Oreochromis niloticus: one gene and its partner. The main gene of each other region encodes a partner of the protein of the gene in region 2 in a complex. Links are inferred from orthologs where the notes say so. Each region holds a gene or a part of one and is shown on either strand. Other genes may lie near its edges.

Region 1 (7,311 bases), on a different chromosome or scaffold from region 2:
CTCCACCTCCCATAAACCTGTGTGAAAAAAAAAAGTGTGATTTTCTATGATTTCTCTTCATGATTAGAACAAAGGGGCAGTTTAAAAGGTGTAATAGGGAAATAATTTTTACTGGATGTTGTCGATCCAGGAGACAAATTCGAAGGCTGAGCTGGTTGGCGCGTGACACTGGACATATGACTCCGGAGCACAGTCCACTGTGTTGAAGACCACAAGGCCATACTGTGTGCCCCCGTACTAGAAAACATAAAATAGTAATAATAAATCATCCACAGAATTCAAAAAAGATATCTGAATTTCAGCAAACAGTGACAGGGAATGCAAGCTAAAGCATTAAAAACAGAGATTAGACTGTCTACAGTGTACCTTGCCTCTTGCCCTATGTCAGCTGGGAAAGGTTTTAGCCCCCCCCAACCCAACCTTAAGTTGGATAAGCAGTTAAAAAGCTAGAAAACAGGAATTAGAGTAACACTCACATCTCCACCAAAATCTGTTTCTGCTGGAGGCCCTCCATTAAAATACCTGTGGTGAATGAAATAAAATTAATTCATAGCTACATGACATTAATGATTTAGGAAACAATGGGTAGCTTTAGATACTTACTCAATAGCTGGAAGTATGTAATTTTTTCTTAAAGATTCAAAGTATGGTCCAAGGTTCGCTGTCCCTTCAATGACAAACACCACATCAGCCACCTGGTTGGGCCCAGGTTTACTGGATGGCTCCATGAGTGCCGAACCTGCCACCATAGATCTAGATACAGAGGAGAAAGTTATCATAGTTTAAAAAAAAAAAAAAAAACTACAATAACAACCAAAATTAGGTGTGAAAAACATTTCTTGGTTAAAAGACATAAAATAAATTTAGTCTGACTCATTTCTTCAACACCAGCATTAGCAGGATTTGGTACATGTAACTCTAAGCCTCTCACCTACCTTTCTATTTTAATGCATTTCTGATACTCTTGAATCTTGATTCAACAAATATAATTCATAATATAATTGACATTGAAAATGACAAAACAATTCTAAAAATCACTTTTGTTAAAACTTGGATGAAAGGCCCTTGTGGTATTTATGGCATCTATTATGATCCGTATGTATACTCTGGAGCACAGTGAGAAGACAGACACATTGGGCTACAATTCAAACCCCTATTCAAAAGTCAGGACAACAGCGTCAACAAAGTTGTGCTTGTTTATTTTCCTTTCAAACTAAACAAAAGCAAAAACATGTAAATTCACTTCACATTTCATATATATTCATTTAGAAAACATTACATTTTAATTTTTTTAATATTGTCCGAACTACTATCTTTAGTGTCTTGATGCATGCTCAATCATCCAGGTAAGTAAATCCCCCAAAATTGATTCTGTTCATCTGGACATATATCTGAAAACGCAAGACCCCAGGTGCAGGCTGTGTAAAGATGCCCCAGAGACAATCCAGCACATAACAGCAGGGTGCAAGATGCTAGCAGGCAAGGCATACATGGAGCGCCATAACCAAGTGGCCGGCATAGTGTACAGGAACATCTGTGCCGAGTATAACCTGGAAGTCCCGAGGTCAAAATGGGAGATGCCCCCAAGGGTGGTGGAGAATGACCGAGCTAAGATCCTGTGGGACTTCCAGATGCAGACGGACAAAATGGTGGTGGCTAACCAACCGGACATAGTGGTGGTAGACAAACAGAAGAAGACGGCTGTAGTGATCGATGTAGCGGTTCCGAATGACAGCAATATCAGGAAGAAGGAACACGAGAAGCTGGAGAAATACCAAGGGCTCAGAGAAGAGCTCAAGAGGATGTGGAGGGTGAAGGTGACGGTGGTCCCCGTGGTAATCGGAGCACTAGGTGCGGTGACTCCCAAGCTAGGCGAGTGGCTCCAGCAGATCCCGGGAACAACATCGGAGATCTCTGTCCAGAAGAGCGCAGTCCTGGGAACAGCTAAGATACTGCGCAGGACCCTCAAGCTCCCAGGCCTCTGGTAGAGGACCCGAGCTTGAAGGATAAACCGCCCGCAGGGGCGTGCTGGGTGTTTTTTTTTTTTTTTTTTATATATATATGCATGCTTCCAGCTATTGAGTAAGTATCTGAAGCTACCCATGGATTAAACAGTACAGTACTGACCCCACAAACCAATAGTCACCAGTGGTGTTAGTTTTAGTCATTATGCAAATGCACTGTTTATAACCTGCAGTCAACTGAGATTGAAGAACTCACTTGGTTGAGTGACGAAACGTTTCTCCAACTGAAAACGCAAAGTCCATATGAACAGCTTCAACTTTTTGGGATACCATCTTTAGCGTTACCTTGTTTAATTTCCTGTTTGATCTCTTACCTTAATTCGAGCTCGATTATCTATGTTATTTGCTTTTTTGCGTTTCTGTTTTGTCAGATACACAAGTAAATCACTCTGAGCTGAAACACTCCAATGTAAGATAGTGATTTCACGGACATCCAGCAGCTACAGTACGATGGAAGCATGTGACTTCACCTCTGTGAAGGTGTAACAGTTTTCTATTCTTTCTCAAAGAAAAACAAAAACAGCACTTGTGTTTTTCAATGTAGCACACTTGCGAGAAATATATTTTCTTTTTTTCCTTTCTTTTTTTTTTTTTTAAACCGGTGATAAAATACCAGATGTTTGCTGCGATAGCTGTGCGCTCCAGTTTTAAAGGTAGGACCTAAAACCTAGCTGGTACTCAAATCGCTAATCATTAATCCATAATTAATATTGCTAATCGACATTATCGCCAAGGGGAGGTAAAACGCAAGCTAACGAAGTCAACAACAGCTGAAGTGCGCACAGCTTTCGTTTTAGCGTTAGCTAGCACAGCAAACGTCAGTGAGCGATTTAAGCTAATATAGTTCAAATAGCCCCAATTAACAAGCCTTTATCAAGCTGTTAAGTGATGTAGACTGACCTGATGGACTGTGGCTGTCCGACGAACCGCTGAACCGGTTGGACCAAACTATAACTTTAAAAATTAACTTGAACTACACAGCACAGTTAGCCTGAGCATTTGTTGTATTTTTGACGGAAGTGACGAAACGACACGCCCACGAGAGGCCAAGAATCTAAAAAAACCCAAAAAACTTTATTAATAACAACAAAGCGGAACATGGCATACATCAGGTTGTCAAGAACACCGAAAGGAGTACAAGGAAAATAAACGAAAACGATACAACTTGGGAATTACCATAAACACAAAATACCAGGGTTTTCAAGCCGTTCTAACACACAAAATTATAGAAGTATATTAAAGTCTTTAAGACGATGACACGGTTTTAAGGTATTTTCAATTCTCGCTGTCCATTACTGAGAAAATGTAATGCTTTATTATCAAAAGTAATCCAGTGAAATTTGGCTTACGACTGGAGAACTTGGATGAGTGAATACACTGTCAATATCACTGTAACCAAGCAAAACGTTCTTCCAGGATAATGAAAAATTAGGGTTACCATGATCAGAAACAAAACGTGAAAGTATGCTCCAGAGATGTTTCGTAAACCAGCAATACCAGAATAAATGAACCACTGTTTCAATATCGGTTTCACAAAAAGTAACAATTCACATTAATACCCCTTACAAAGAATAAAACCAACGCCTGATAGTAATGAAAACTAAACTAAATCTAAACATTTTCAGACATTAAAAAACTAAACCAAAGTATTGCCAGTTCACTAAACTGAGCTTAAAACTCAAAATAAAAATGAAATAAAAATGAAATCTAATTAGAAAATGCAAAACTAATAGCTTTGGTCCTCATCAGTCAAAGATGTTTTTGTCTGGTCCCAAATAGCAGATATGTACCTAAACAAGTGCTTTTGCAAACGTATACCATGCAATAGAAAATACAGCTACAGCCACGACAACAAATACAATCCAAGCATTTCAGATATTCATTTATTGAACAGCAGATTAAATTCAGTGGCACATGTAAATACGGGTCTTTGCAAGCTTAAAGAAGTCCAGTTACCTTGTTTCTTCTATAACTGATAAGAAGAGAATTTATTTGTTGTCTTCTTAGGCTTACTGAAGGCCAAGACCCTGATTATATCCAATTCATTTTGAGTTTATTTTATTTAAATAGCACCAATTCAACAACAGTCAGCTCAAGGTGCGTTCTATTGCAAGGTGAACACAATATTAGACAGAGAGAATCCCAACATTCAGATGATCCCCTATGACCAAGAACGTGGTGACAGTGGGGAAGGGGAGCGTGGAGAGATGAGGATAAAAAACAAAAAGGGACAGAAGACAAAGTTTTGGTAACATGGAGTTGTGACATATAAACAGAAATTCCCCAGCAGTCTGAGCCTATAGCAGCATGAATAAAGGATGGTTAGAGGTCACCTGATCTAGTATGCAGAGTAATATGCACTGGATGATGAATTATATATAAAATGAAAAGAAGTAGGAAACACAGAGACTAAACCGTAAAGTGTTGAGGAGGCAACATGCATGTAAATAATGTCACAATAACATTTAAGAGCATGATCTGTCCAGGTGTTTTCCTAAATGCTAAATTCATCTAGTTCTATTTTGAATAAAAACAACAACAACATCAAAACAATAACAAAAGAAACAAAACAAAAAACAGTCAAGCCATTAATTCTTCATTCACAGTGTTGGTATTTTCTCGCTTCCAAAGGTATGACTAAGTGTTTGGGTCACTTCCAGCCCACGCTTAACTTGGTGGAACCCACTTCATGACTTTTTAGACCATGTCTGGCCCATAAACATTTGCCATTGCCATAACTGATGTGTAAGTGCCCAGAGCAGGCCCAGACGTCTCTGCTATCTGGCTACTTGTAAGCAATTACTGAAAATGAAATGCCCTCAATATATATTGCTCCACATAATGAAGCATGGAGGTGCAGGGTCATCAGTGAATATTGTCTTGGCTCAGACTTCTAAACCTCATCTTTGCTTTTCAGTGCTTTGCCAGTAGCCTGAGTGATGAGGAAGGGCTCCAGTTATCTTTCCTTAAATCTATCTAATGACCAACCTGAGGCAGCCAGAGGGCTTTCCTCAAGGGTAAAACTGAAATCTACACTTTAAAAATCTAGACTTTAAAAATCCAGACAGTTGACTATTACAGACAACAATGGCAGGTGCATTCAGATGAAATCCCTCGAAGTGCAAAGGACAGGAATCACATGTTAATTTGCTTAATACAAACTTGTGCTCAGTACTGAAAAGACAGAAATTGAAATCTTTGAGTGTTGCCACAGCAAAAAACAAAAAAACAAAAAACAGACTATCTTCTCTTTTGTGTTTCGAACAGGGTTCTGAGGACGAACGCTGGAGATATCCAAGTGCTTTTGATCCAGACCTCCAGCAGATGTCAGCAAATATCTAGCGATGATGAACTGATGATGGTCTTATCAGAGAGCAGGCTACAGATTTTAACCTAAAGTTCCTTTAATTTAGTGTCAGACTGTTTATCTATAGTAGCTATGTGTCTAGAGTAAGTTACATATAGGAAAAGCTACCAAGACAAAATCCATGGTACTGAGAAAAACATCTTCACCACAAAGCATGACCTGTGATTTTTAGGCTTGACATGCTTAACCTAGTTGTTGCTTTTTTCTGGATTTCATGGTTTCATAACTTCATTGTTCTATAAAAAGGCTTTCTCATTCCCCTTGCAACCTCAGTGCTGGAAACAAGAATATAATTACCACAGCAGCTATCGGCACATTAACTGCTGTCAGATCAGCACAATACACCAGAGGCTAACCTGTAGTTGTAACACATCGGCATGCTGCTTCTGTGGGTCCAACAATAGCATCCCCTTCCCTGTGGTAATGCCAGCCAGTCAGTCAGCTTAGCACAGCATTCAGCAAAGCGCTTCAGAGCTAATCAAGCTCAAACCCTCCCACAGAAACAATGCTCCACATCAATTTAACCTAAATTCTAAGGAGGGCAACAAGCTGTGGGCTCAAGCAGCTTTTCCATTTGGGCGTCAGTAAGCAAGAACGCTTCAGGCGACCTAAAGAAAGTTCATCTGAGGGAGGGTTTATGCCCAAGGCTACCCCCTGGATGCAAACATTAGCTCCCCCACAGAGCTTTTTTATTTTGAATGAGCATCATGGCCAAATTAAACTGACAGAATGGATGGTGAATGTTCGTGTGTGTGTGTGTGTGTGTGTGTGAATGTGCCTGCGTAGGCATCCCTTTACTTTGCAACTCTGATGCTTTCTGCCGCTTAGAGGAATATACAGTGTGTCTCGCTGCTTTGAACTTCAACTCACACAATGCCAGCAGTTGCCAAGCAATTACAGAAGGCCTGCTTTCTGTGTATGCCTTTGGAAGACCAGACAGTGTTTTCTTTTTTTTTTCCTCTTATGTTCCTTGTTTGGTCAGAGAATTACATAATACAATATGAATCAGAAATATAGTTGGTGCCGTAGCTATCTATGTCTGCAAGGTCCAGGTGGTGTGGTAAAGACAATCCATCTCCTGACATTGGTACCCAGCTGGGATGCTGAGGGCCAGATGGTCGCCTCACAACAGGTAATCACAGCCAGCATGCTGATACAGTGGCATCCACACAAATAGGTTACCAGACAAATAGGTTACCAGAGGCGTTTCCAGGAATGTGAAAGAAAAGCAGCCAACAGGAAATCGTAATATTTGATCAGAAATAAATCCAATGTAGAAAAATTTGTGTTGAAAACCTTGGGTGTGATTTGTAGGCTTGTGTGCAACCTGAAACAATGTAATACATAAAAAATTGTGCTGCACAAGAGCCTGAAAATTGTTCAGCATTGGATAACTATTTTGCAAAGTGGTGAAGTAGCAATGTCAAAATCTGACTTAGTATTAGTATGAAAAGTTTTAGCAATAAATAAGATACCTGAAGTAAAGGGAAGGGGCCTTTCCAGAAGCACAGGCATTATATTGTTAGATCACAATTATTCATTAATGTGTAAATCACTTTAAACTATAAAAAAGATATTAAAAAAACAAAAAATAAAACAAAAACATATAAAAAAGGCAAAATTTAAATTTATGTTTTAAAATCATATCTAAAAGCTTTAAAATAAATGACATGGAGAACAAAGTACAATATTTGGATCCAACATATAGTGAGTTGGAAGCAGAAAGTGGAGTAACATAGATATATTTAAATGAATGCATTAAAATTGTATTTGTGTCATTAGTTCAAAGATAATTAATTCAGTTATATTATGGTTAGACAGCTCCGTCCCATGACCTCCTCTGGACACACCCCTGCACAGAGTATTAGATCTGATAGTATTTTTTAAAAATCTTCATAGAAAATTACCTTTTTCTGTGAA
Region 2 (7,114 bases):
CTTTCCCTACTACTGTGACTCCTCCTCTTCTGCCTTTGTGTTCAAACTCAAAATCCCCTTCTACCCCAGTGACCCTCCTCCTCCTCCTCCTCCTCTGCACTAATCTCCTTGTGCCCCACTGGATTGACTGCTTCACCTCTCGCTACACTGTGACTCCCCCACCCCGCACCCCTCAGGACGCATCGCTGACTGGCCTCATTTTTGCAGGACCTCCTCCTCCTCCTCATCTGCCTTGCTCAGATGAAGCATGAGTAACAGCCACAGGCACAAGGTGTAATGTTGGCAAAGAAAAAGCAATAACAGGAGCATGATCCTCAACAGGAAATTAGCTTTGGTGCAGGTGTCAATGTATGCTGATTAGAATAACGTTTGCAGATAAATATCACTCATGAGATTTTTCAATCATGCCTGCAATAACAGCATGTAGCGTTCTGAAACAAACAGATTTGATCTCCCATTTCCCACTGTGCTTAGTGCTTAAATGTACTGGTCACATTACAACTAAAAGGGCCCTCTTTATAGGTACTTAAAAGCCCCCTCACACACACACACTCAATATATAAGGCTCCCATGGGGTTTGGGGGCCACCAATATAGAGTTTAGCCTTGGAGTCGCTTTGTATTTCACATTTGGTGTTTCTATAGCAACTGTGGACAAGTGGACCCCCCTTTATTTTGAACACCATTAAATACCCCACCCCCGTCTTGAGTTTAGTGGGGTTTCCCACACACACACACACATACAGACACACACACACCAATAGGCGAGGCTGTGTCTAGCTCTAGTTTAATTGGTAATGAAAGCTCAGGGATTGAAGAAGAGCGTTCAACAACCTTTTTAAGAATTTCAAGCTTTTTATGACTGAGAAACACAGTAAAACACGTTTCAATCGTTTGCAACAGGTGCACTAAGGATTTGATGTATAAATGTACTTCTTGGGAATTTTTTTTAAGTATTAGAGAAAATAAAGCAGATCAAAGACTTAAAGAAATCCTAAGTGCACAATAAAGGGAATGTAAAATATCACATTTTTGGCTTCCACTTCCACACTTCCAACAAACTTTTTTGTGATTCTGACTTGGAAATCATCGCTCACTTGGTGCATCAGGTTCTTTTAAAGATCCTCTTCAACAGTCTGAATACAGCGTTGTCCCTGATAGCTTTGGAAGTTCTCTCCCACAGGGTGTCCTCCTTCCACATACCCCGACCCTTCCTCTCAGCTTTCACCTCTGCCCTGTGCAGTCGTCTGTGGAGACGCCAGTAGAGGCGCGAGTCAGGGAGGACACCAGCTACGGGGGCAGTGCGAGCCAGTCCGAGCCTGAGTACCTCTTCGTTCATACAGTAGCTCCTCAATGACCCCTTCTGGAGAGATGCGAGAAGACAGGGAAATATCACTTTATAACTTGAAATTAATTACTCAATTTTCCACATAAGGTTTCTCTTACCCTGCTTTGAGACACCAAACAATGCAATATGTCGTCCTCTCGGCTGATAAGCTTCAACCACACCATTTGGGAAGGGGCCACGTTCTTCTCCAGCCATAGTTTCCCCTGTGGTGTCAGCTCCACTCCTGCAAGATGGACCAGCAGCAGGGATGTAGACACATCTGAAAAGAAGAAAGACAAAGCATTTACCTGACATTTTATGTATTCTGTTTAGAATATGAATTTTGAGCAAGGCCTGAAACTGTATTTTTTTAGTAGTGTAAGCATAATGTAACAGTTTAGTGGTGTCACTACTGAAATGTTGCATTTTACATTTAATAATAAAGAAAAAAAATTGTTGTTAGATGCAAAGACAAATTGAACCCTCTCTATACTAAATGACTGATCAGGTTTGAAATGTTGAGTCAGGTGGGGCAAACGTGTTATCTGTGTCCTCGGTGAAGTAGCTGATGCTGCACCTTATGATTTCATTGCTCAGTGACTACTATGACTTGATATAGCAGCTAACAGGCTTACCTGCCACTTTCAGTCATGGCAGTTTAATAAAATATATCCGACTTTGCAAAGTAAAAACGCCACAATTATATTATGGTGCAAAAAGATGAAATAATTACGCTGCTAAGCCATAGATTAGTGGCTCTGAATAGTATAGACCGTGTATTTCTAGTGTGATAGTGCACATGCTTTCATGATCTTCTCTCTCCTGTATTACCCTTATACTTTGAAAGTAATGGAGAGATAACAGGCAGATAAATTGGGACGTGCTCCACTTTAAATCCTTTCTCTGTGATGGAATGGACTTTCCCACGAAGGCTGACGTTCCTCTCAATAAAACGTGTGGGGATGTCACACGCAGCTTGAAATTTTGTGATCTACAGAGGTGGAACAGACAAGTGAATGACTCATTCTAGAAAAACACAGAAAAAATGACATCCTATGTAGTAGGATGTCGATTTGATAGAGCGAATTGAGATAGCACACAACATTTTGAACATTTGAGGGTCTTTCTCCCTTACCAGTTTGATACTCCTTGCTATGACAATTACACCAGCAATGGCCAGTCCAGTGCTTATATTCTGTGGGAGACAAGGGAAAAGTAAAGGGATGAGAGTGATGTTGCCAACCAGGCTAAAGTGCTGGTCACTGATAATGCACATGAGCACTATACTCTGCTGGGGACAACTAGAGAAAGGACATCTGGTCAGCGCCATGAAGGCTTTTGCATGAGACCACAGTCCTTCCTTTCAACATATAGGGTACCACCAAGTGAAAGATTAAAAGCAGATGCAGGCTGACAGTCAAGTAACCATGCTGTCTATGCATCCCAGCTTTCAAACAAAGGAGACTCCTACCCGCACGAGCGTTAAATTATCATCTGCGAACTGAGATAGTAAAGTCACGATGTTATGAGACACCGGGGTTTCTTCCTTTCTTTGTTGTCTGTCCCTCATTTCCTCCTCACTTTCTGTTTCTCTGGAAGTCTGCGGCATGTTGTTGACATTTTCTCGAAGCATCCGAAGCCCCGCCCACTCGGGGGAGGGAAGTTTCACCATTGAAGGCTCGTGCGGAGGCTCCGCCCTGTGGTCTGCTGTGGAAATGACAGGAAGGTGTGCACGTCCAATGCGTGTGAAAGCATCAAGTTCACAGCCCGTGTGACATAAAAAGCACCAAAATAACCAGCCCGGTGGATGGCGAAGCTGTTTACTTAGCGCTGCAATAACGTTGAGGAGGGGGTAGAGAAAAAGTTGTCCATGCAAAAATGCAGCTGAGGTTCACATTATTGAACACCGCTGGGATCAGTGACGTATCCATCTTTGTCTACACAGTTTGACCTAGATTTCTTCATTATTTAAAATCTTCCCTTGAATTTATTTGTTTATGTCTGTTTTTGTTGTTGTTGTTAGATTTAAAAAGTATAAAGATTTAACTCGTGATTAATGCCTTTTCTATCAGGTGCAATCCACCTGTTCTGAAATGCACACAAATTTAAACTGCAGTAACATATTTGCAGATTCATCTAGAACAAAGGGGTTTTATTTGATTGAACTGAGTTTGCTTCTTAAGGGTTGTTGCAATGCATGAAAAAGTTTGTTTATATTAATTTCAAAGTAAATTTCAAAAATGCACTTAAATAAAATCTCAGTACTGAATGTGTTTTTTTCTTTATTGTTCATTTTCCCCATATATACATATTAATTTGTCAACTATATGTATGTAGCCTGATCAGTGTTTGTGTTTCATGCAAATGTTGGTTCTTTATTTGCACCACTGTATTCCTGAAAGAATTTCAGTAATAATTATAAAAATAATAATAACTAGATGACTTCGTGTCATCTAGTTATTATTATTCAATGCACAAAGCAAACGCCCCCAGAAGACAATAGAATAAGTCAGTTGGTTTTGTTTTTTTTTACCTTTACATAACAATGCAAACAAACACACATGTTCCCACCACCAACAATAATTCACCAAATATTTCCCATAACTGTCCATGCAGCAGATGTTGCACAGTGAAACATGCACGTTAACAGGCATCACTGAGGAGTGACCACTGCATGACAGATGCACTGGAGCTTTCATCTTGTAAACTGTGAAGTCATGGAGCTACTTGAAGCTGGATCACGCCCCCATTACCACAAATTGGCCAATAGGAGCTAAGAGGCAGAGTTGTCCTCCTGGCCGCCATTAAAGAATTCAATACATGAACTGAAATAATGGAAATCTGCAGGACCTATGGAGCAGGCAGAGAAGAGTAGCTGATGAGTAGTCACGCTAGTTTGGGGTGTTTCATTCGTTTTAAGGGTAGTTTTAATATGACGGAGCACCATGGTGGTTTTGGTGAAAAGGAGGGCGGCGTAGCGGGTTGTTTTATTTAGCTGGCGAGCTAACGCTGGAGCTCTGGTATGTTAGCGAATGTGTTAGCAGGCTAGGCTAGCTCAGGGGGAGGAGGGGCGAGTTCCTCCGCTTTGAAATTGTTTCAGAGCAGCTAGCTGCCATTAGCATTAGCATACCAGCATCTAAGTTTTTCTTTTAAGTTTTTGAGCTCGTATTTTTATTGCGCATTTAACTTTTTCCGGTGGTGTATTTAACGCTAGTCTTTCTTCGATTTGTTATCGATGATTATTTAATGTTGAGGTGATGTAGCCGCAAGCTTGCGGCTAACCAGATCAGACAATACATTTCAAATAGGATTGATGAATCGTATAGCGAGAAGCTTACAGTTGACGCGTTCTGGCTGTCTGTCTAACGTTAGCTTAGCTGCCAGGCTAGTGGTGGTGGCTAGCGCCGGTTAGAAGTTGACTGTTTGGCTAGCGTCAGCTAGCTGAAGCTAGCAAGTTGGCAGCGCTTTAACGGGATAATTAGAGCTGAACATAGCTTCGCAAGCGAGTTACCCAGATCGGCTATTGCCCCCCGAAGGTGATTGAGAACATGGATTTTAACGTTACAACTACGCAGTGAAAGGATGAGTTCGTGCTTTGTACCAAACGGGGCCAGTTTGGAGGACTGCCACTCCAACCTCTTCTGCCTGGTAAGACTCTGTTCTGTGAGCTAGCGAGCGTTAGCGATCCTGAGAGGCCAGAAAGCCATTTTGGCTAATAAGGCAACAAGCCTTGTAACGTCAGTTGCAGATTGGAGTGAAGGCATCGGGCCTGCAACTAACAAATCGTGATCTGAGCCAACTTTCATAACAGAGCCAGCACATTCTGCATGACAACTATTTTGAAGGCTGGTTGATAAATATGGCACGATCTTGTGTTTACACTGCACTGAGTGCTAAAATATTCCGCTAGCAATAACGTTATTTACATGGTGGTAAAAAGAACAACTAAACGAGCAGTTTCTCTAAAACCAGCTGAACATATTGTTTTTCCTTGATTTAAACTGCACTGCATGCAAATTAATTGTGGCTGTCACCAACCATTTTGAGACAGACCAGTCTGGTTTTAAACTGACAGGTCTGTCATTGGTTGTTAACTTGCTGGTTGTAAATTATTTCCTTATAGTTGGGTGTTATGGCTTCAGGCGTGATCATCTTGGCAAGTGTAAAGAGTACAGGAAAACTTTCAACAGTGTAAACAAACCTCAATTTTCAGCTTTGCTTATTCAAAGTTTCCTTTTTCTGTTTTCTCAATATAATTGTAGGATCTATACCTTTACAATATAAAGCACCTAAGGCAACTGTTGTTGTGATTTTGCACTATATAAATAAAATAAAATTAATTGAATTGAAAGTAATTTTAGCAGCAAAGGCTGTCTTGTTACTGCAGTGTGTTAGGTCAAGATGCATGAAGAGTTGTGCAGTAAACAACTGGAAAATGGCTTTATGCTTTGCAGTTATTCTCTGTGTCTCTGTGTTCATTCTCACATTCTCACATCACTATTCTTCTTCTCTTTAAGGCTGATTTGACTGGAATAAAATGGCGGCGTTTTGTGTGGCAAGGACCCACCTCCTCGCCTATCCTTTTCCCTGTGACTGAGGAGGACCCAATCTTGTGCAGTTTCAGCCGATGCTTGGCGGCAGATGTGTTGAGTGTTTGGAGGAGGCACCACACCCCGGGTCGCAGAGAGCTCTGGCTTTTCTGGTGGGGTGATGACCCCAGTTTTGCAGAGCTTATCCACAATGAGCTCTTAAGTAAGTGCATTTAACCTCTCCACGAATACTGCAAGATTTGTGATTCTGACAGCATCAGAGTTTATTAGATGAAAATGTTTATTTCACTTCACTGAATTAAATTCCAATATTATTTGGTGATTTACCCCAAATTATATGTGGACTCTTGTGCTTTCACAGCACTTAGTTCAGTTTGTGCCATCTGAACAATTTTAAATTGAAGTGTGTAATTGTTGATATTAATAACATACTTCCTAGAGATGCTGTCCTGAAATGCTTACTGTATCAAATATTTTTCTTACACATTTTTGATGATGCAAAGTCTGATTAAAAATAATTTCTAAGGCCCTTGAATTTGTGGCTAACTGGTCTTTGAATGTCTTTAAAGCCTTGTGGAATTGATTGGCCCACGGCCACAGAGACACAGACTTGCATGGTAGGATTAGAACAAGTTGTTGTGCATCATAGTCACCTGACACACCTCTGGATTTCTGGAGATTCAATCCTGCTTTGTTGATATTCATATTCATATTCTTAGAGAAAAAGTACCCTTAGGGGCTAACACACAGGTATTTTGTCCCAGGTGGGGTGAAGTGTTACTTGCAGAAATTGCTCATTAAAGAGACAGAGTTGGCAACAATTTTTCAAATCTCTCTTGAGCTCCAAAGATAGTTGGAAATTTGAATTTTCCACTATGCAGGGAGTATAGCTCTTGATGATCAGAGAGGAATGGCATGAGTAAGCTTCACCTAATCTAATAATTTCTCTGTAATTTAACAAAATAGTTTATTTTCTGTTACATAAGTCAGTAACTGGGTTGAAGCCTTTTATTTTGGATCACGTCATTACATAACAGCAACTAAGACTTTTATTAATATTAAATGTTTTCCTGTATTTATACGCGGTAGAGCAGGTGTAACTGTGGTCTTCTTGTTTTTTGCACAGCCAAATTAAGGCTACGCATGTATGACAAAACCAAGTACATTTAACACTGGTTAGCTTTATCAGGAAAAAAAGCTTTGATTGTTAAAGTCATCATGTTTGCATCTGCCTTGTT

What was found. Proteins that work in one complex are often made in the same cells at the same time.
Region 1: mediator of RNA polymerase II transcription subunit 13-like (region 2) and med25 share a complex: the UniProt entries of both Homo sapiens proteins name them as parts of the mediator complex. The link is inferred for Oreochromis niloticus from reciprocal best matches to the Homo sapiens genes MED13 and MED25.

What each region holds. Positions count from the first base shown.
Region 1 is NC_031969.2:29,553,752-29,561,062, reverse strand, and holds the start of med25 (mediator of RNA polymerase II transcription subunit 25), read right to left. Parts: upstream 3,083-7,311; 5' UTR 2,925-3,082; intron 2,477-2,924; exon of another isoform or gene 2,339-2,476; intron 754-2,338; 5' UTR 750-753; coding exon 604-749; intron 523-603; coding exon 477-522; intron 238-476; coding exon 113-237; intron 18-112; coding exon 1-17. UniProt on the Homo sapiens protein: Component of the Mediator complex, a coactivator involved in the regulated transcription of nearly all RNA polymerase II-dependent genes.
Region 2 is NC_031979.2:25,761,812-25,768,925, forward strand, and holds the start of mediator of RNA polymerase II transcription subunit 13-like, read left to right. Parts: upstream 1-4,104; 5' UTR 4,105-4,908; coding exon 4,909-4,974; intron 4,975-5,843; coding exon 5,844-6,078; intron 6,079-7,114. Other genes in the region: c18h3orf33 (protein C3orf33 homolog), read right to left, coding at 1,105-1,362, 1,446-1,606, 2,158-2,317, 2,462-2,521, 2,798-2,998. UniProt on the Homo sapiens protein: Component of the Mediator complex, a coactivator involved in the regulated transcription of nearly all RNA polymerase II-dependent genes.